Linked DNA regions of Drosophila melanogaster. The gene in region 3 interacts genetically with the main gene of each other region. Each region holds a gene or a part of one and is shown on either strand. Other genes may lie near its edges.

What was found.
Region 1: of aux (region 3) and rb, changing one enhances a phenotype caused by changing the other (phenotypic enhancement), as found in Drosophila melanogaster (one study listed by BioGRID).
Region 2: of aux (region 3) and Clc, changing one enhances a phenotype caused by changing the other (phenotypic enhancement), as found in Drosophila melanogaster (one study listed by BioGRID).

The regions. Positions count from the first base shown.
Region 1 is NC_004354.4:4,534,500-4,543,750, forward strand, and holds rb (ruby), read right to left. Parts: upstream 6,128-9,251; 5' UTR 5,807-6,127; coding exon 5,165-5,806; intron 5,105-5,164; coding exon 4,276-5,104; intron 4,211-4,275; coding exon 2,987-4,210; intron 2,933-2,986; coding exon 2,145-2,932; 3' UTR 1,136-2,144; downstream 1-1,135. Other genes in the region: CHOp24, read left to right, coding at 6,504-6,645, 6,718-7,052, 7,408-7,557; CG3568 (uncharacterized protein), read left to right, coding at 8,204-8,413, 8,479-8,623, 8,677-9,251.
Region 2 is NT_037436.4:20,238,036-20,244,870, reverse strand, and holds Clc (clathrin light chain), read right to left. Parts: upstream 3,819-6,835; 5' UTR 3,765-3,818; intron 3,753-3,764; exon of another isoform or gene 3,331-3,752; intron 3,309-3,330; exon of another isoform or gene 3,187-3,308; intron 3,027-3,186; exon of another isoform or gene 2,968-3,026; intron 2,366-2,967; exon of another isoform or gene 2,087-2,365; 5' UTR 2,074-2,086; coding exon 1,414-2,073; 3' UTR 1,136-1,413; downstream 1-1,135. Other genes in the region: CG6951 (uncharacterized protein), read right to left, coding at 294-704; CG17233 (uncharacterized protein), read left to right, coding at 4,376-5,008, 5,258-6,133. UniProt on the Drosophila melanogaster protein: Clathrin is the major protein of the polyhedral coat of coated pits and vesicles.
Region 3 is NT_033777.3:4,208,708-4,215,784, reverse strand, and holds the start of aux (auxilin), read right to left. Parts: upstream 4,003-7,077; 5' UTR 3,973-4,002; intron 3,878-3,972; 5' UTR 3,870-3,877; intron 663-3,869; exon of another isoform or gene 471-662; intron 1-470.

The sequences.
Region 1 (9,251 bases), on a different chromosome or scaffold from region 3:
AACAATAAGTGATTGAAAATCATCCTTAGACATACACACATACTGCATAAATCGATATATACATCTTGCATATACATTTAAAAGAAAGAAAACTAAACAAAACAAAAAAAAAATGGTAAAAAAAAAACTAGTTTTATATGAAGTTAAGCGAACGAAGGCCGTGGCATATTATATAACGTGTATACAGAATAGCGAAAACGAGAAGAGAACGATACTACCCCAGGACACTATATACAAACGCTCTACTATATGCCTGTCAAGAACTACTCACAACCCATTATTACAGCATACATATACCCATGCCATATTACCCAAAAATTACATTAATGCATACGTACATACTCGTACTATTCGTACATACATACATGCTATCTATCCCCTAATCATACATTATATAGCATCCCCAAAACCCTATATTTCTTCACTTATCACTCGGAACTTTCAAGCCGTTGATCTTAAAGCCTAGCCTAACCGAAAACTACAACTACTAAAACTACTACTTGAGATCTTTAAGTGCAGCAGCGAATCCAAAACTAAACTAAACATTACTAACCTAGCGATCTAACTAACTCGTTTATATTGATAAGCATGAAATTGAGCTTTTTAATTGTGCAGAACCCAAATTAGAACACAAGGAAATACAGCTACAACTACACCGACACCGACACCTAAAACACAGTTGGATTTGGAGAAAGCAGCGTAGGATTTGAGGAATGAGTTATGTATGTTCTATAACCCAGCATGTCAGTATGTCCAACCTCCTTCTATAATTTCCCACGGAGCTATTTTGAAGCAATCCCGACTTTCAAGCGACAGCAGCAGGAAATTGATACATAAATGCAGAAATCAACTCGAATTTTAAGGAATTGAACTAATTAGAATTCGATTCGATTCTTTTGCATTTGAAAGTTTGTCCTTGCTGACTTCTTATATTCTGTTTGGTGAGTGGAGAAAGTAACAAGAACAAGCGTGAATAAACATCAAAATAATTGAAAACTTTTGAAAAAAGCATTTTTACTTGACATGTGCGAGCGTGTATTAAACTTGATTCGTTTATCCAAAACAGGTAAGACGTTCTCAATTTTAAAATGTAAGCTTTTATTTCAGCTTTTCAATGCGGAGATTCAGCTTATTTGTTTCAGGCATATTAACAGATTGATTTGTTTCTTTATTAGAATACGTTTCATTTGTTCACTTTAATTTGCCAGAATTTGCGCTGTTTATTGTATGAATATAATATATAATATATAGATTCGATATTCGTTTGTCTTTGCTACGTTTTGAAGAAGGCCGCATAGAGCACGAAGGCAACAGATTTACAACATCAAACACTTTACAAATACGTTTCGATTACTCATACACACATTACACACACGCCTAGCTAAGTAGGATGGATTGGAGGATAGGATTTGTTTGGATCGGCAACGATTCGAGTTCAATCAATTGTAACATCTCATTTCATCTGGAATTGTTTGTGGTTGCAGTTTGTATATAGGAATATTAAAAGCGTTAGGATCATGTTTCATTTATATTTGGGCGGGGCGGTTGGTAATCCTTGAATAATTTTCGATTTGGATATGAAAGCTACACTAATCTCATGTTGTGTTCATCCATTCATAAAAGGAAATGGTGACTCTTTTATGCAAAATATCTCAGTATAAGCGGATACAAATATATAGGAAGTTGTGTGTTTCCCATTTCAATAAGTTTCATTAAGAATTTGCGAATGTGTATAACAATAAATATAGTTTTGTAGCATTTACACAATAGTTTGCATCACTTTTCATTCAGTTTTCAACAAGTTAAAGAATATGTAATAATTACAGTTGAAATTGCAATTTAAATTAGTTTTGGATTTCGATCCCACTTGAACACTTAAGTTGCATCTGTTACACTGCACATTTACATATAATCTCTCGAAAATGGAATTTAAAACACCTGTAATCTCAGCTAATGTTATCAGCTAATTTCAAAGATTACGTTCTCCCCGCCCGTTTACAAGTGTATAGCTAAATATGAATGCTATGTTTACGTAGTGAGGCGGCTTTGCCTTATTCTCAGTTGAGTAGCCCTGCTCCAGGGGATTCCACTCCTCAAGTTAGTTCGCTGCTCGCTTTCGTCTTGTTCGCTTTCGTGTCCATCGCTCACATGGCGAAACTGAGCTGCAGAGCATTGCGCAGCTCGTTGAGCACCATGGATCCAATGACCATTTTCTCGCAGTTTACCAGCAGCGTGAGGGCATCCTCTGTTTTCCAATCGAGGGTGAGTAGCACGAGGCTTTTGGAGCTCAGGGTTTGGCCGGCGAAACAGTGTAGCTGACCGCTGGAAGAGCTGTGCGTATGCGCCACGTTGATGGACTCGAAAACCTTTTGCCGCAATGCGACCACATCGATTAGGTCCTGCCTCAGGCCACGCAACTCGCACTGATGCTCATTCATTCCACGCAGCTTGGCCCGCTCCTCGCGATGACAGCTCTCGCCGATCTGGACGGATCTCACCAGCTCGCCCACCGGCGGTTTCAATTGCAGTCGTGAACTGCCCGCACTTGACAGAAGCTCCAGGTCTACAGCATGCGTCGAATCATTGAAATCGACGCCCAGCACACCACTCGCTGTTTGTTGGGGCTGGAGAACAGTGATTGGCGCAAACTCATTCAATTGCATGCCCGCCGGCAGAGTTGTTTGCCCGAGACGAATGGCCGTAATCTCTTTTTCGCCACGATTCTGGAACTGCAGCTCAATGGAGCACATGCTCGAGGAGTACAGATGCGGGGAGCGGGTGAAACGGTAGGCCAAATGCAGTCCATGGCCACTGACCTTGTTAAGCAGCTCCTTGTGCTTGAACTCGATGTGCGAGGGACCCACCAATTCCACCCGATTGCGGGCGTGCTGCGGCTGCAGTGGCGCCGCCTGTCCAGCCATCATTGGTGTGCCTATTGAAGAATTATTATATAAAGAGGCCAATTTAGAGATGCGCATCACCTTACCAGGCGTCAGGAATCCTCCCAACGAGGGCGTCATCACGGGACCAATGGGCGGAATGTCATCCAGATCGAGTAGCAGGTCCAGATTGCTCTTGACAGCCGTTTGCTCCGGCTGTTTCTCGTGCTTCTCTTTCAACTTCTCCGGCTTTGTGCCTGTGTCCGTTTTCGTTTCGTTCTTTTTCACTTCATTATCGCTACCGGAAGCGCTGTCATCACTACTACTGCCACTGTACGCTGATGAATCCTCGCTGTCCGATGTTCCTGACGAACCTCTCGCATTGTTATTGTTGTTTATAGTTGCTTTTACAGGCGAAGAAGTAGCGGCCAGCTCATTGCTTCCAGCATCGATAAGCCGCTCCTTCACCGAGGAAACCTTGGTCGGCTGCTGCTTTTGCACCTCCTCCTCCTCCTCATCGCTGCTCCCGCTGCCATCGCTATCGGATTCACTGTCGCTGGTGCCACTGCCACTGCTGCTGCCTGATTCCGAGTAAGCGGAAGACTTGTCGTCCGACTCAGAGAGGAAGCCCTTCTCGCCACCAGCACCCTTTTCCTTACCGCCTTCACGGCCGGATTTATCCTTTGAATGTCCGGATGGCGAGTCTTCACCCGGCAGCTTGTCCTGCATAAATCCAGCTATATTGCGTACCGATGAATCCGGTGGAATCACCGGAAAGGCGGGCAGTTCCTTGTAGCCAGCCGCTGGCATGTTCAGGTAGTGAGACAACGATCCTAACTGGAAGTTATTGCCATCCCGGTATTTACTCTCCGGCACCGGAGCCGGTTTGCTGGCGAGAAATACTTGGCGGGCATGCTGGCTGAGCACCGAGCTCGTTCCGCTCGCCGGAAAGATGATTTGCCGCAGAAAACGGGCACGATCGCGTACATCGTAGTTGGGATCATAGCGAGCCAGCGTAAAGACGTACTGACACAGCAACGATGTCTGCTCCGGATTGGTCAGATAGAGCTTAACGCCTAAGTTTAGGACCTGCAGCTTCACCACATCCTGCTCATCGACAAACGATTTGGCCATTTTGCGCAGCACATCCGGGGCAATCAGCGGCACCTTCTCGTTGTATTCGCCTATAAGCCAAATGATGGCTGCCCTAGCTGCGGGCACATTGATATAATCGATCAGTTTGGCCATTTGGGTGATAATCTCAAAGTGCTCGGCGGCTTTCGTTTGCAGAAGACGCTTAATCACCACCACGCTCTCGGCCACCACGTGTTCTAAATGGAATAACGGAATACTTATAAAATTAAAATACAAATGGCTAAAAGAAAGCTTAACGCACCGTCATGATTGGACAGCAGATGAACCAGGCCACTCAAGCAGGTCTCGGTAACCTCCTTAATGCTAGATGCACATCGTCCAATGGCCTGAATCGTGGCCGCCACAAACGAACGATCGCTGCTGGAGATGTAGGTTTGAAATTCGCGCAGAATGAGCGAAATACTGCCCGCCGAGGCCAGATTGGTGAGAATATCCAGCTTGAGAAGCTTTATGTGCGTGGGATCGCTGGTGCGCACAAAGAACGACTTGAGGTGCGGCTCAAAGATCGCCTTTCGTTTGGTGGACATCGAGGCAATGCAATTGAGGACCACGCTCTGAACCTCCTTATGCGATCGCAGCAGTCGTATCAGCGCCTTGGCAATCAATTGCACTTCGTTCTTGGGAGCCACATGATGATAGAGCTGCGCCACTGCCATCACCACGGAGGCATTTCGCGATTGGAGCAATGGTTTCGTTTGCCTCAACAGCAGGCGGTGATCCACATCGATGTGGTAGCTGTTGCTCGGAGAACTGGGTGTTCTACTGCCATTTCCTCCGCCATTGTTTTTATTGTTCGTACTCGACTTGTTTTTTTCGTCATCGCTACTGCCATCATCGCTGTGGGAAGAGGAGTGCGAGGATTCGTCGTAGAAGCGTTCACTAACGGGCGTTTCGCCCAGGCCATCGTTGACCAGATCCTCATCATCCGCATTGGGATCAACGAACTGAGTGCGCGCATAGCGGGTCAACATATTAATGATGATCACCTGACCCCATTCGTCCACATCCAGCAGGAAATTGCACAGCTTGCGGTAGTTCTTGTGTATCAAATCTACACGTTCCGGACAAACCTACGAATAAAGATCCGTCGTATATAGAGGATAAATGTTTTACTTTAGCTGCAGACCCACCTCGTCGAAGGCCATCACCGCTGATCCCACCACTAGAGTAGTGCGATCCGATAAAAGCTTCTCAATGACCATGACCAGTTCATCCTTTTGATCCGCGTCCAGAGAATACAACTTGGGGATGGCATGTGCCGCTGTTTTCCGCACATATGGACTCAAATCGGCGGCGCTATCCCGAATGGCCAGCATTACGATTGGCACAATCATGCTGACCCTTATGGAGGATAACACTCGCAGAGCCGAGGCGCGAATAAGTTGATTGGGATCCTTGAGCGCCCTCTGAAATGTGGAAATGGATAGCAGGGCCAAGTCCTGCTGCTCCTCGGCGTATCGCACCAAATAGACGTAGACCAACTTCTTGACCTCGATATTCTTGGACACCACATTCTTGACGACTGCCGGGAACAGATCACTGGCATCCCGTCCGCGGGCAATCATGCCAATGATGCGCTTCATGGCCTCCAGCTTTAGTCCATCCTTGTTGCTGTCCAACATTTGCTTGAGATCATCATGCTTGCGTCCATCGGATTGGAAGAAAGCTGCTCCGCTGGCAGGATCCGCTCCGAATTCGACGTCCAGTCCCATTTGGGGCCGCTCCACATATGTGGACATGGCGAAGGGATTGCTGGCCGAGTTCTGCTGCATTCTTGCAAAGATTCCCCCGGATTACCCAGATTTCGGTTGACCACTTGACCTTTTACTTTCCGTGCTGATGATTTTTTTTTTCCTTTTTTTTTGTGTGTGGGAGTTGGCAGTTTTCCCTTTCGGTTTTTGCAAATGCGTCCAATGTGAAACCTTTGTTCCTGATGTTGAATCCTCAAGACGATCTGGTGGTCAGCTGCTCGTCCTGCCACGCAGCTTGCAAGTTTTGCAAGGGATACTATTATTTATGCCGAAATTCTGGCCAATTTTTGCATTTTTTTTTTTAGCTTTCTGTTTCCTAATGGTGGGCAACTGTCGATAGTCGCCGATTAACACATAGCACAAAAATACTAGAACACTTTAACTAACTGTGATGGAATGCACCAAGAGTTTTTCATATAGGTACGCACATAAATAAAGTAATGTATTAGTTACGATATCCAATACTTTAACCGAAACATTTCGCGGCATTCATGTTGCTTTTGAATTTTTATGAGTTGTGAGTTTTTTGTAGTGATCCGTTAAAAATTCGGTATCGCGTGTCGCGTGCACCTATCGATGCCGAATCTATCGGAAACTGCTGTTCTTCGATATGCCCTATTTGTCTACATCTATCGGAGTATATCGAATCGACTACAACTACGTGGCTGCAGTGCGTTTAATAGCGATTAAAACCAGGCCAAAAGTACTAAGACAAACGATGGAATCGACACTCGCCAAGGTGCTGCTCCTTGTGGGCAGCCTGCTGATCCTGTGCCGCACCAGCCACGCCTTCATCGTCAGCGTGGACGCCCACAATGAGGAGTGCTTCTTCGAGAACGTCGAAGGCGGCACCAAGTTTGGTACGTGAGCGATATGGATTTTCGGTCAATTGACAAGGGATCTATGCTGATAAAATGATGGTGACTTTACAGGCGTCACCTTCGAGGTGATCGACGGTGGCTTCCTAGACGTGGACATCAAGATCAGCGGCCCGGATAACCATGTGATGCACGAGAGCGAAAAGGAGTCGTCCGGCAAGTACACCTTTGTGGCCCCCGCCAAGGGAACCTACACCGTGTGCTTCAACAACGAACGCAGCAGCATGACCCCCAAGCTGGTCATGTTCTCCATCGACGTGGGTGACGCACCGCAACGTGCGCCCGGAGCACCCGGCGAGGAGGAGGTGGGCCACACCAAGCTGGAGGACATGATTCGGGAGCTCTCCGGCACGCTGACCAGTGTCAAGCACGAACAGGAGTACATGCATGTGAGTGAAGAGACGAGGTGAAGATGGAGCATCCAGCTGCCACATAATCATGATTGGGGGTTTTGGAAGAGTTTAACATGTAGCAGAATTAGGGGTACATGGAATATGGGAGCAATCGAGTAACTATTGCCACATAGTCTGGCATGCCTCCAGCATTACTTGTACAGATCCACGTCGCAAGATTTAAGAGCGGAGTCGGTAGACTTGTTCGAGGGAATGGAGCTGCTAGCTGCCACATAAACAATAACTAGTAGCGATTTTCAAACACTCATGTTTTCACCATCGGTTATAATCAGTATTGACATTATTTGTGAAGTAATCCACGACTAATCCTCCAATTTCTTTACTCCCTCAGGTGCGCGACAAGATCCATCGTTCGGTGAACGAGAACACCAACTCGCGAGTGGTGCTGTGGTCCACCTTCGAAGCCCTCGTCCTGGTCCTGATGACAGTGGGCCAGGTGTACTACCTGAAACGCTTCTTCGAGGTCAAGCGCGTCGTGTAATCCCGAGCGGAAAACCAGGATGGAAGTAGCAAAGGAAGGCGGCACACGAAGCTCTGGGGGAAATGTGTGCGCAATGCGTTGCAGTCTCAGATTTAATTTAAATGATTAACATCCTTTTGTAATTTAAATAAAATACCTTGTAAAAAGTAATTAGTGCTTGAAAGTATGTCGATCATGTTTCTGTTTCGAGAATTATTAACAGAGATTGCTATATTAGAGAAATTAATATATATATTTTTTTTTAATTACCAAATATCTCTTAATGGAAACAGAACAGCAAATATTTTCAGACACACATTCAAGGGGGGAAGAGACACTTGTGAACTTTCGAACTAAATTGATAAGAACCATTTGTTTTCTAATAAATGTAGGTTGACAAGAGAAAAGTTTGTTTGCAACTTCGAAATGGAAATGGATTCTATAATAATTTCGAAATATCTGAATGGAAATAAAACAACTTTTCAGAAGCTATATTAAATTCGTTTCAAATCTTTTTGAGTGTTGGGTAGTTAATGTGACAGTGGAAATAAGTTATTAAATCTGACGTCGGTGTGCAGCACTGGATCGTCCAGTGACAGTTGACATATATTCCTATCAGCGGCGAACTTTTTTGTCCGGACTCCTAAAAGTGACTCCAAAAAGTGCGATGAGATCTTTTCTTTATATGCTCTCCCAACGTCCCAAATTGGCATGTTTGTGCGGAAAATCTATTATCATATGGCCTGGTAAACGTACAAATCTGCCGGAAAATGCTTTCACTCAGCGGATGCTTCAAGAATGTGGCCAAATGGCAAAGCCGGACGCTTCGGTGGATCTCGATAATTTCAAAGCTATTTCGGAGCAGTCTCCCGCCGAGGTATACTCATTGGAATTGGTTTCGCAAAATTGTCTTCTGACATTGATATAATCCCCCCACATTAGTTTGGCATCGATTCCTGCCGAGTGAAGGCACAGCCGGAAGATCGAAGTGACCGCATACGGGAACAAATCGCATCCGCCTATCCGGTGATTCACGAACGGACCCTCCTACTCTTTATCAGCTTCTTAGAGCACAAGCTCACGTTCGGTGGGTACAATCACAATCGAAAGAATTTATATTTTCTGGTCATCGTTTTACAGGCAGCGAGCAGGAGAAGGCCATCTACAAGGACATGACTGTGGTTGACCTTGTGCAGCGCCTGCTGGCGAAGAGATGTGTGTGGTTCTTTGGCGCTAACGACTATTACCGTACAATGCAGGGAAATATTGGTAACGAGGGCTTCGAGGCAGTGGGTACGCCCGCCGAAAAGGAACCCCTCACTTTGACCTCGGTGCTCAGCTACGACGAGATCAAGCTGTCCGCCCTGCTCTACGTGTCCTGCCACTCGGAGTTCATTAACAATGGCAGTAGGGTCAATGGGGGTGAGGTGCTGCAGAATAAGGACACTATCGAACGGGAGGGCGTTGTGATTGGACTAATTGGAGCTCGTTTCGAGCGTCCCGATGTGATGGAGTACCAGGATATCATGATTACTAAAACCCAAAATACTGAGGCCAATGGCTACGGTTTCGATTTGGAACAGATATCCAGCGAGACGGTCACACCTGCATCAGATTTGCGCAGAATCTGGCGCGAGTTCTACGAGGAGCCCAGGGACTTCATTTACGCCGACACTCCGTATGATACTACGCGTTTCGAAGAGGTTTCTCAGGGC
Region 2 (6,835 bases), on a different chromosome or scaffold from region 3:
GAAGATGAGTTCATAAAGCTGCCGTCCGTTTGGTCGTCCTTTCGTTTTAACGAAAAACTTAAAACCTTTTTGAAGCCGTGAAACTATTGGAAAGATTGTGCTTCCATGTTTGTGATCATATATTGGTGTAATTTTGTACACAACCGTTGTTTTTCCATATATTAATTCGTTTTTCATTTTATCAAAATAGGACGACTAAATTATACAGCTGCCATATGAAAATATTAAAGTTGCATTTCAAATAATAGAACAGAAATCCTATATTCGGCTTCCTTCGTTAATATTAGTTTTACCTGTATAATGAGTTTGGCACATTCGTTGCACGGAAATAGTGTGGTATACAGTCGAGTTCCAGACAAACTCATGCCGTTGCTGTTCAGGATTGCATTGGCCTCCGCGTGGACCACGTACATCTTCTTGTCTTCCAGGGGATCAAATTCCTGCGAGCCTTTCTTAGCTTTTGACCACGGAAACACGTCATCGCTGCAGTTGCGAGGGAACCCATTGTATCCAATGGCCACTATCCGATTCTGGGAATCCACGATGCAGGCGCCCACTTGGGTGACGGGATCTTTGCTGCGTTTGGCGGAGAGCAGTGAGGTGGCCATAAAGTAGTCATCCCAATGCAGATATTCCTTTCTCTTGTGGCTTTCGGGTGACTTCGACAACTGGGATATCAAATCTTGAGCGGAAACTTCAGCCATTTCTGCAAAACAAGTAGAAAACCTTATTAAGCGATGGAAATAATTAAATTATGATTTCTGATATCCACTTTTCATTATCGTAATTGGTTTCTTTATGCGTATTTCATTCATATAATGCATACATTAAACCAGCTCTGCAATGACAAATACTTGCCTCAGTTGTCTGTATGTCTTTATTTTAATAATCATTTAATGAATGCAAATCCATACACAACCATATTCCATTTCCAACCCATTGATATTTCCAACACACATATATGATGAAAACAAGTTGTATGTGTATAACTAACTAGAGATAAGAATAATAAATGGTTTGTATAATGCGTTTTATAGAGCAATAAATATTATTTACAACAAAACTGGAAGTAATTAAAGCCCCTTGATGTGCAACCCTGCTTGATTAACAAAATGAACGAAAAAACACTTTAGTTGTCATATCCTTGGTTTTATTTTTTATTTGTTCTTTTTCCTAACTTTTTCATGTCGTTTTTCTTATTTTGTGTGATGGGGTATATGATAGTCAAGGAAAGCATGACAACTGTGTGCACATTCTTTATTGCATTCATTAGACAAAACGATGATCGCGGCTATGTTATAGCAGCAATAATAATATTTTATGTATCATAAATTGGAATATACAGCGAATACTTTCAATAATAATTTTCATATTCAACTCAATGTGGTTAGGCGAGTGCGTAATTAAAACTACCTAGGTGCTCTTCTGCACCTGGATGGGATTCTGCTTGAGGTGCAGGTAGATGGATCGCATGCGGGAGACGTCCTTTCCCGCCTTGTTCACCTTGGGATTGAAGTCGCAGAGCTTGGCTATGCGCTCCCATTCGGTGCCCGGCTCGATGGTGCCATTCTCCAGGGTGGCGGCTTGTTTCTCGGCATTCCGCGACGCCAGTTTGGTCTTCGATATGGACTCGCCAATCTGGCGCAACCAGTCGTCCAGCTCCTTCTTGGACTGCTGTCGGAGTTCCTCCTTTTTTCGCTCCTCCTCGATGTCCTTCTCCTCCAGTCGTTGCTTTTGCTCTTCGCGCCATTTGCGTATCTTTTCGGGCTCTTCCCGCGACGGCGGCGGACCGGATATGCCCACGGGTTCATTGGACTCGCCACCAATGACCTCAAAACTGCCAGTGGAGGATTCGAGGCCACCCGTGCCGCCAGCAGAGAGCAGATCGCCTTCGGAGGCGGTGCCTCCCAGAAGCTCACCCAAGCCCTCGTCTGTGGATGCAGCCGGAGGAGCTGATGCAGATCCACCCGTAATCTCCGCCTCCAAGTCCCCGAGAGCTGACTGTTCGCGCGCCAGGAACTCGGCCGCCGGATCCACGTCCTCCTTGGCAGCGAAATCGTCTCCGAAGTCCATGGCTATGTGCTCTCTGGAAATGTTGTGATTGCTATTTAGTGGGCGTCTCACCCAGATTTACACGTACGCAGAGGAGCAGCCAGCTGCTGGCGGATTCCCCCCGATTCATTGACAATTGGGCACTACGCACCTCTCCTTTGATTCGGTTAGGACTAATTGAAGATCGGTGTGGGCGGATGACTAACCGGAAACTTGGTCAAATGTATTTTTTCAGTTTTCTTTTAGCAATGAATACGTAAAATGACTGTCATTAGTACGTGAACCAACCATAAAACAGCGGGCTATCGAACTGGTTCCAGCCGAACAGTGCTGGATAATGCAACATATATCGCAACGCGATGGTTTTAAATTTAATGTTATGATTTTTATATTAAAAAATAAATATTTTTTTACACCAGTTATTATGCCAAATCTTTTAAATGTATACAAATTAGTAATATTTAAGGAACAGAAACCATTGTTAACTATTTTACTTGTCAAAGCCGAATTCAACATTCCTTAACATCACGGATAACGAGTTAAAGATTTAGCTACATTTTGTATTATTAAGCTACAAGTTTATGATAATGTATGTTGAAAAAACCAAAGTAAGAACATTTAATTTTTCCTTAACTAAACTTTTAAATTATATCAGCAGCGTCAATTTTCCACTGGGTTTCTGGTCAATTAGTGTTGCAAAATGTGTAATGGTGGTGGCTTGATTCGTTCATATATAATTTAGAACCGTACATATAGTTAATAAAACCTAGATTTAATATAATATTTAAGTTTGGAATTATTTTATTTTTTTTTTTGTTTTCAGATTTTGTAAAGTTCTCATGGTTTTTGAAATCAACTAGTTCCAATTGATCAGTGTTAGGAAACGCGCGAGTTCAGTAAACACAACCTTCAGAGGAGTTACGATTAATTTGTTTATATCTTATCAAATGTGCCTTAATAAATGCTCGTAAAATGTAAATACACAACAAAGTTAACTAGTAATGACTGTAGACCCGATAAAAAGCGTATTATACAACACTTGTTGCTATTGCATAGCACATGGGAATATAATTGCTGGTCAAATTTCACGGTGAATTGTTCACACAACATGACTTAATTATGTTTTTGACTAACCTATGCCACGAAGAACACAAGACGCAGTATACTTTTTGAGGAAATTAACAAAGACGAAATGCGAGGACGACGGCAAAACAAACAATAAACACTCGGCGCGCGAACTAGTGAACCGATGAACAAGTTCACCGTGGCATCATTCACCTGAGCCAGTGGTTCGTTTTTCACTGGCAGCAGAGCGGCCATTTTGGAGATTGTTTCATCCACAAAAAAGTTATGCACCGAATCTAAAAAAAAGAACGTTCGCTGTTAGTTAAACATAAAATCCGCTCGTGCATATTGAAGCGTTGTTGTGCTGGCCGATCCGATGTGAAGATAATGCTGGGCCCGAGCAGACCGACAGTTCCGATTCTATAACGACTAAAAGTTAGTGACTATCTTCCAACACGCACGCATGTACGCCCGTGTGTGTGAGTATGTGTGTGTGTGTGTGTGATTGTGTGCATGGATACATATATGTACAAGCGGAAAATACGGGAAAAAATCCTATTCCCAGGCAGAAAAACATTGCCAAAAACAGCATAAATCCCAGCCAATGTGATGGCCCCGTCATTGTAATGTCATAAGTGAGCACCCACATTAACCCATTGACGCTGAAACTTCAAAAATGCGGTCTCCTTGCCGCCGAGCGCCAAGGCAAAAAATACAGACGCCAATTTTTTTGAAGGGGGAACCAAGCGCATCGTGGCCAAAAGGGATACAAAAAAAATGAAGATACGAAAAAAATAGGGGGATCCCTTCAGTGCAGAAAAGTTGGGGAACAAACACCCCAAAACTGGAGTGTTTCATTCTAAAGTGTACTTCTACTATGTGTTTATTGATTTACAATAAAAGATAAACAAAATATGTTTGACCACATATAAATATCAATAATTTTATAGTAATTATTATTGATCCATAAATAACATTAATTGAATTCGCGCCTTTTTCCCCTCTATATTATGAATGCCATGGCAAGCAACTTGTGATAACAATATAAATATGTTATAATCTAAGCTACCGCTAAATTGATAAATATGGGCGGGATTTTTAGACTTAACACATGACCATTGGAAATGTATCCGAGCAATAATAAACTCCAATTAGTTAATCCTTTACATATAAGCCGCTAATTATATTCAAAAACCACTAAAGTTTTGCTATTTGTTTCAGTTACCAGCCATCAGCAGTAGAAGAGCCCAAGCCAAACATGGATCCCAATTCCAGTCCCTGGTCATACGCCTACAACCGCATCGTGCCCGCCAGTGCCGGAAGCTCCGGCGGAACAGCAGAGGACTTCCAGCATCCACACCTGGCCACCATTACGGCAGCAAGCATCGCCAGCTTTAATGCGGCGGCCGCCAGTGGTGGCAGCTTTGTGCCTCCGTCACCGATTGGCAGCTACAACCCAGTATTCCAGCAGATCTACCACCATGCGGCGGCGGCCAGTGTCCAGCCTAAGCCCGCCCACTATGCCTCGTCAGCGGTGAGCACGCCGCACCGCCAGCTGCAGCTGCCCAGTTCGCTGGACAAGCAGCTCAGTTCGTTCCAGAACCAGGCGGCCGTGTCGGCGGCAGCGGCTGCTGTAGTCAACAATGTTGCCTCGAACTATTACGGGGAGAACTCCTCGTCGAGTGGAGCCTCACCATCGCCCACAACGGTGGCCCTGACGTCGACGTCGCTGACCTGGAACACGCCGAACATGATATCGAACACCTTCCTGGCCATGCAACAGCAGCAGGCACAGCAGCAACAGCAGCAGGCACAACAGCAGCAACAACAGGCCCAACAGCAACAGCAGCAGGCGCAACAGCAACAGCTAAACCTGGTGGCCGACAAAGTGGTGAGTAGAATTCGTTTGTTTTACGTTCGGCTTTCAGATCACTCTTCTATTATGGTTTACGCCAGCTTCTGGGGAAGCACACACACTTATTAAAACCCCGCAGGCTCTATCGCATTTATCGCATACTAACATAACATCCCTTCCAATAAACCCATCAAAGCATAGACTAAGTCTAGCCTCTCTATGTCGAATCAATCCCAAACCAAACACTTTCCGATTCCGATTCAATCTATGTACGGTGCGCTGTAGCAGATTAAGCAGGAAAAGCAATTAAAAGCCTACAACGACTCGATTTACCTGATCCAACTGCAACAGCAGCAGCAGCAACAACAGACAGCGGCGCAGCAGCAACAGCAGCAGCTCCACCAGCAACTGCAACAGGAGATCGCCGAGGCAGACACAGAACCGGACACCTATTACACCATTGATGGCCGGAAGGTCAAGGTGACGCGGAAGGATGGCCAGCCGTATCGGGCAACGATAGTAGACCAACAGGATGCCAGTCCGGTGCCGCTGGCAGTGCCAGTTCCGGCGGGATCCTATCCGGTGCAATATGCCAGTCCGGCGCTAAGCTCCGCAGATGGATCGCCCATCACGAATTTACATGCGGTGGACGTGGTCAGCACACCGCAGGCCCAGGTGATCGTCTACAAGACGGCATCCCCTGTGCAAAGGCGGCAAGAAGCGGGCGCTGGATCGTCTGCTGCTGCCACACCCACCACGGTGGCCTACTCATCTGTGATACAAAGCACCCTGCAGCAACAGCAGCAGCAGCAGAACCTCTGCTGGACGAAGCTGGAGGACAATGGAGCGGGGCAGGAGGACATTAAGAACGTGCTGCAGCTGCAGGTGAAACAGGAACATCGGCAGCTCGATTTTGCCAGTGAGGCATCCTCAGTGGACGCCGGTGGTGGTGGCGAAAATCTAGTTTTCAACCTACCGCCCGGGCTGGAGATCAAGCAAACCTTCTATCCCGCGAGCGTGGTCGATGGGGAGCAACTGCAGCTGCAGGAGCACAATCAAAACCAATCCCAGTCCTCCGGTCGGCGCCAGCACGTGGTGGCCAACATGATCATGTCGCCGTCGGCGGGCAACTTAGCGTCACAGATTCAAGTAGTGCCAAAGGTTTGTATTTAATTTTTTTTATTTCCGTTTCTATTTGTTTATTAATTTGTTTGTGTTCTGCCTTTATTTCGTTTTATTTGCTTTTCACACTATTTCTTCCAAGATTTTGCCAACTTAAATGGACTAGTTTGGAAGATCTCTTATTTAGTTCCACTGTGCGCTTTTTCTTTCTGATTGGCTAAAAATAAATTTGAATTAACAAAACGTACCTTAACAGACTATTGGTAGCTTACATAAAAAATCTCATTTGGACGCAAAATTTCCAATATTTATTTTAATTAAGAATTTGAAACCTACATTTATAGAAGTACTAATTAGATTTTCTTGCTTTCAAATACTAGAAGTATCCAGTTTCCCGAATATAAGGTTATTTCGTTAAAGCCCTGTTCTGTAGCTTTATATTTTAAAAAAAATTTGCATGCCCTTTCGATTATTTCTTGTATTATGGTGGAAGCTATTTCTTTGGCCTTCTGTTATTAATCGCTTAATTTGAAATTCTTCGGTTCAATCTAACAAAAACTGCTAACTGATATTCTCTAGTTTAAAGTCATGTGGCCACTTTGAAACTGTGACGTTATGTTGTAATGGTATGATCCAATCCTAATGGGGGTAAACCCAAGCACCAAACGCGTATGCCGCTCGCAGCCCAGTTGTTAATACCCCATAAAATGTTCTGGGAGCAGACTGTTCTTTTTACCAGCC
Region 3 (7,077 bases):
ACCGATCGCTGCTGCTGATGTTGGAGCTGCTGGCAGCGACGCAATTGCGCAATTGCTTGCTCATTTCGGCTGCCTCTTTTTTGGCGTGCTTTGGCTTTGTTTACCGACTCAGTCGCAGTTAATGTTGCTGATACCGAGAGCAATTTCGCCTTGGTTTGGCTCGGAGATGGAGATGGTTTTAGCCTCGGCTTTGGCGGCTCTGGGCCCGATTGGGCAGCATGGAGGACGGTTGGGGGGCGGTTGGGGGAAGCCACAGACGGGCTCGGGCGGTACCGGGCGGGATCCGTAGCTCCACTTTGCCGTATGTCTGGCTTTCTGGCTTTCTGGCTGAGTATCGCTGGCAGCGCTCGGTCTGCTGCTGCCTGCGCCATCGGCCTCTAAACATACATGTGTATACATAATAATTTTACTTTTTCTGCCGTTTTCCAGCTCGCTGCTTTTTTACTTGCAAGCAAAACTTTTCAACCACCGTCAGTTGTATTTCGGTTCGCGCTGCGATCTGTCGCGCTTTCAAATCACCTCCGCTGGCGAGAAACTAAACGTTGAGTCCCACCATCAGAACCACATCCTGTTCGGCGGAAGACGAGGCAGAGCGTTGCCCACCCCTGAAAGTCCTATCGAGCTTCTGGTTAAAGAAATGTGAGTGTCTCTGGCGTAACACGGTGCGTATGCGCACTATCTGCCATTTGATGTTCATCAATCAAGCTGGTACAATAACAGTACCTGGCCACCGCAACTTTGAGCTTTTGATACGACTCTTAAGTAATTCCCGGGTAACCATTGCCGAGCCGGCTGGTTTGAGGGTCTTCAGTGTCAGACTTTTAGTACGACCTACCGCAACGAAACCTGTTCAGTCTGGAAGCCCTAGAAGATCCGCTCTCGGGACAGCGCACTCCAGACGATGACACATTTCACATTTCACACTTCAGCTCGTGCGTTGGCCCCCAAAGAGACCAGATCGGCCCACCAACCTGTGACTCCACTGGCAGTCGAAAGGAAACAGAGTTTCACTTTCAATTGCGACACCCAGGGCCAAGTAGGTAGGTGGGAGCGGTGCCAGAAGGGAGGCGAGTGGGAGGGGGTTGGTGGGCGCAGGGAAGCGACTAACACGAGTAATGTTAATTAAAAGACAAAAACATAATTTAACGCTGGGCATCGCGGCGGCGAGCTATCTTGGAAGTTACGATCTCGGCATTTCTCATCTCATTGCGCATCGTCCGCCACGAAAATACGAATGTGTGGATAAGTAAAGAGCTCGTTTTGGGCCCTCCACCTTGGGTGGGAAATGTTAATCATAAAAAGTAAAAGTAAAATATTACGGGTCGAGTCAGCACTAGCTTCGTTAGCCGCCCCTCGCATTTGCATTTCGCACATGGCAGTGGCGACAGCCACTGCACCAGCTGGCAGGCACAGAAAACGTCGTCGTCGTCGATTACAATCGATTGCCTACGCGGGCTACACGGGAAAAAATCTGAGTTAGGGGGAGCACCAAGTAGCTGTGCTGATGTGTAATATCTGTACCGGTCGAGCCCTGGCCACGTCCAAATCCCTCTGGGACGTGTAAATTGAAGTATGAGCTGAGCCCCGAAAGAATCATATTCATTCTCGCAGTGTACTTGTGCCACCGACCCCTTTGATTTGGGTTCAACCTCTCCAGCTGGAGGCGTGAGCGATTGCAGGCGTGGCCGCCATTTAAATTCAGTCTTTGTTGTATGCCCGCCTCACAATATCCGACGCGTTGCAGAGCAAACTCGACTTGATTGACACCTGACAGGGGCCCCAAGAAGTTAATGGAAGCCCAATTGAGCCTCCCCCTCTTTAGGTCACAGAGAGAGCTGGTTTCGCCGGGGCAGCTATTCTAAGCAACGTGGCTGTAAGCCCGTGATTAAGTGGATTCCGAATGCAAAAGACATCGCTCTCTGCATGACTCGAATCGAATCAAGGGAAACTATAAGTGCAGACTGCATTTCAAATTTCATCACTCGTCCCCAAGCCGCTGTTATGCGACGCTTATGACCGCAACAGTGGGCTACGCTCGAGATGAATGTCTTGGCTTCCGCCTCTTACTCATCGCTACAATCTTCAGATGGCGTTAGTGACGTAATTCTTAGCGGTAAGCAGTGACCCAAAAGACGGACCGCTGTCCAAATTTAACTGCAGTGTCAACTCTGTCAAAGTCTCCCGACCGGAGAGGACGGAACGGCTGAAAAGAGTCCTGAAAGTCCGTACAGTTCAAGTTCGGAACTAGTTTTAACGCTCTTAGGGTAACTTTGTCGAATCGGTATGCGATCGAGATTGTCAATGAGCATGGTCTATTAGGTGGTATAATTATCTTGTTTGCCTAGTGTGTTCTCAGAATTATTTAAAATGGTTCTCCGAAAAACTATTGAAATACTAATGAAAGTAAAGCTTGCCTACCTATTGTAAAAGTAAGCTCTTCGAAACAAATTCTGTTTTGTCCAAATGGGAGTACATTTTATTCGATTTCTTTAAAAATTATAAACCTCCGAATGAATGTTTCATTTTCATTTGAAGTGTCAGCTATTAGCACAATTAGTAATTATTTCTATGTGCATGACAAATTTGAACAAAGGGCGATAATAACGTTTAGTCTTGCGAAGTTAATTTTCAATTTAAGGAAGTACCTTGGCCAGCATGACATCTCGTCTCGGGAACAATTAACACAATTGTCTTGCCAGATTCTGTCGATATTCCGAAATATTTTAAGACTACCTATTGCATTTAGTAGCACAGTTTTGCAATCATTAAATAAAAATAAATCGGTTAATACTAATCAATTTTATCATGGAAAAATTGGCAACTATGTTTTGGAAACAAAGAAAAACACTAAAGAATTTACAGGTATTTGCTGTGCCCTTGTCCCGATTTCTAGCAATAAATCGATTTGCTGACCGCGTAATCTTTAGGAATAGGGTTCATGGCCACCTGCAAGCAAGCCAAGTCATAGGAAGAAGCGATAGCGTGGATTTAGGCAGGAGTATTGGAGAAGAGGCGCAAAGCGATGTAGTTGGCCGAGTCGAGTTGAAAGTGAAAGTTTTGCCGAGCAGAGCGCAGCGATTTGCGTCGACGAGCAATGCTCGGTTAGCCACCCAGAGCTCCATTGTCAGCGGCAATAGTAGCGGCGGACGTGAACTTTAGCGGCCGCGTTTGAGTTGAAAACGCAATTTACAATTTTCCTAATTGTTTCTTTCAGCTTTTTGTCGGCCAATTTTCCTTTATTAGTTACTTATTGGATTGTCGTTAGCGTGACCGAGGCGTATGCGTAATATCTTTGCCAACGCCCGATGAGAAAATCGAATTGCCGGTAATCGTCGCATTGACCGCTCACAGAAAGCGTTACCCAGCAGAATAGAAAGACAGAAAGATCTCTAGACGAATCTTTATCATCTTATTTTTCATCTCTCATTTGTGGTTCATTTAATGCAAATTATGGTATCGATTACTTCTGTTTTGAATGTTGAACTTTCCAGTTTCATTCGACCAGAAGATGAATGATCTTAGGTAGAGCACGTTGTTACTCAGGAAATGCGGCTTTCGACGTTTCAGCATCGTTTCCGTCAAAGTAAAAACTGTAGCGTGCAAACGAAAGTTTCAATTTATTTGGTGTTTCGCTTTCTGAGCCCAACGCACCCAGCACATCACGCAAAAGCAGCCAAACTGCAGAGGAGCAGCCATACCTGGCCTGTAAATAATTTATTTGAGAACACGCGGGAAATCTGTTAAGCCAGCATTCCTTATTTATTGGATATTGATTGCAATAGCACTGAAGCGGGTAATCGTCATTATTTTAACAGCTATTCTTAACTTTTGTTTTCCACTTTTGTTGATTATCGCCTAATTTCTAATACCAAGTCAGCTAAGTTGCGGAAGAAACCAGTTTAATTAATTTTTAATAAATTTATTAAAACCATTATTATTATATTATTATTATTATCGTCAGAAATTTGATACCAGAAATTTATAAATACTGGAAGCTTGCGGCACAAACAAAAAGCAATGGATGGCAGAGACTGGTTATATCGAAAAAAACACATCGAAAGGGATGGTAAAATCTTTTTTTAGTACCTTATGAACGGGCTGTTGAAATTATTTTGAAGTGTGTTATAAGAAAAAATACAATTTTAGCCGCCGTTTACAGAAGTTAATATTCTAATACAATTTCACGTGTCTCTTTTATTTTGATCTGTCCTTTAGCTTGGTTCAACAGCGACTGACTGCCGCGCTCTCTGCAGAGTGGCGAGTCGATTAGTCGATAAGTTTCTCGATAATATTTGTATGTTAAGGATGGGTGTATGAGTGTATAAGCTTATGACTAGATTGGCTATGTATAATTAGGTATGTATGACTAAGAGTAAAGGAAGAGGGTAGAAGGAGCAGCCTACTACAACTCGGCCGTCCTGACAACTAGATCTCCCGATCGTAGGATTTTATAACAATTAACGTTTCTTAAAGCTAAGGGTCCTGTTTCTTATTTTATTCTTCTTAGTGGAGATACTTTTGAACGGTCTTAAACATTTTTTTGGTTTTCTTTTCTTCTTGTTTGTTTTCTTTGTTTTACAATTGCTTCTTAAATTATACTTTCTATTTCGTACAGAGTTTCTTAAATTATACTTTCTATTTTGTACAGAGTTTCTCAAATTATACTTTCTATTTTGTACAGAGTTTCTCAAATTATACTTTCTATTTTGTAGACTCTTAATTTTTCTTTGCCAGTGTTTTATATTCTGTATGCTCCATACACCCCGGTAAGGATTGCGAGAAATTTGAAATCCATCAACATCTTCCAGAAGGAAGCGATCATTTTTGAGAACTTTGCTTATGACATAGGGTCCTTTATGCTTTGGAATTAACTTCTTAGCTATGCCTGTTGTTGAGTCAAAATTTTTAACCATGACGTAGTCGCCTTTTGTGAACACTCCTGATCGTTTTCGTTTTTTGTCAACATATTCTTTATTGTATGCTTGTGCTATTTTCTGACTTGCCTCGCCTTTATTTCTAATACTTTCTAAATCTCTTTCTTCAATCGTTTCTCCAATTTCCTCAATTTTTTCTTTTAACTCATCCATAATTTGTCCTTTTTGTTGTAACCCAAATAACATTATGCTAGGATACTGTTTAATGCTGCGGTGTAGTGTATTGTTCAGGGTATATTCGACCTTTTCTAAGACTAAGTCCCAGTGTAGACCTTGATCAGGTTCAATTAACTTGCTAATCATTGGACCAAGACTTCGGTTTATACGTTCAACTTGACCGTTGGCTTGTGGCGATCCTGTTGCAATTTTTATGTGTTTAACATTGCATTCTTTCAAAAATGAGTCAAAATCGCCAGACGTGAAACATGCTCCTCTATCTGATATGATACACTTAGGCCTACTGTATGCTCTGAAGTAGTCATTTAACGATTGTATGACTTCTTTTGTGTTCGTAGTTTTTGTTGCGTATAGTCTGACAAACTTTGTGAATGCATCTACTATCACTAGAATATGTTTCTTCGGTCTAGCCAAGTCTACTGGACCATAATGGTCAATATGGATTATTTCAAAAGGTTTGTTTCCCTTAGGTATGTTGTGTAGAAATCCTTCTGTTTTTCCTGTTTTGGGACTGAATGAAATACATTTTAAACAGTTGCTGATATGTGTGCTACACTTCTGTTTTAAATTTGGAAACCAATAGTTTTTCATTATAGCTTCTATCATTTTGTCTCTTCCTACGTGTCCAAGTTCGTTGTGATATTTGTATAACACTTGTTCTTCCATTTCTATCGGAACGTAGAACAGCAATCTATTTTCATTTGTCTTTTTGTAAACTATACCATTTCTCATCTCATACAATTTATTTTCTGTGTTTTCTAACAATTGCCTGATTTCTTTTAATTTTGTATCTTTCCCTTGACATATAACTAGATTATCTTCGAAACTGTTTGTTTGTATTACCATAATATTTGTACACCTACTCAGTGCGTCAACATGTTGCATGCGGCTACCTGCCCTATGCACAATTTCAAAATCATAACCTTGGAATTCTAAAGCCCACCTGGCTATCCTAGGGTTTAGCTCTTTTTTGCTTAGGGTCAAAATTAATGAGTTGCAGTCGGTGACTATTTTAAATGTCCTCCAATGAAGATAAACTCTAAATCTACGTAACGAATAAACAATGGCTAAAGTTTCTAACTCGAAACTGTGGTATTTTGATTCAATATCTGTTGTCCGTTTTGAAAAGAATGAAACTGGGTGCCATTTCTGGTCCTCCTTCTTTTGCATAAGTACAGCACCGAATCCAGAAGAACTTGCATCACAATGCAATTCTGTTTCGTGTTTATGGTTGTATATAGCTAAGACCGGTGACTGTATTAATTTATCTTTTAACATATTAAAACAAATCATTTCTTCACTACCAAATTTGAACGGTTTATCTTTTTTTAGAATGTCATGCAATGGTTTAGCTAGTCTAGAAAAATCTTTTATAAACCGTCGAAAATATGAGCATAATCCCAAAAAACTTTGTACTGTATGAGCATTATTAGGTATTGGGAAATTTTTTATTGCCTCGATTCCTTTGTCATTGGGCATTATGCCGTCTTTATTTATTATGAACCCAAGATATTTTATACTCGATTGCATAAACTCACATTTGTCTATTCTTAATTCAAGTTTATTTTCAACTAATCTTTTAAAAATTTCTTTCAACGTTTCTAAGTGTTCGTTTATATTTTCGGTTGCCAATAGAATGTCGTCCATATATACTACTACTTTGTTTTCTCTAATCATATCAGCAAAAATTTTGTTAACAAATCTTTGGAACACAGACGGGGCGTTTTTGAGGCCAAATGGCATTCGCAGCCACTCGTATTGGCCTAATGGTGTAACGAAAGAGGTGTATTTTATTGATTCTTTTTTAACATGCACGTGGAAAAAACCGTTTTTAAGATCGAGTTTGGTGAAAACAGTTTTCTCATTCATTCTATCTAACAAGTCATCTATAAGAGGTAGAGGATAGTTGTCTTTCATTGTCATTTTATTAAGTTTTCTAAAGTCGACGCACATACGTAAGTCTCCA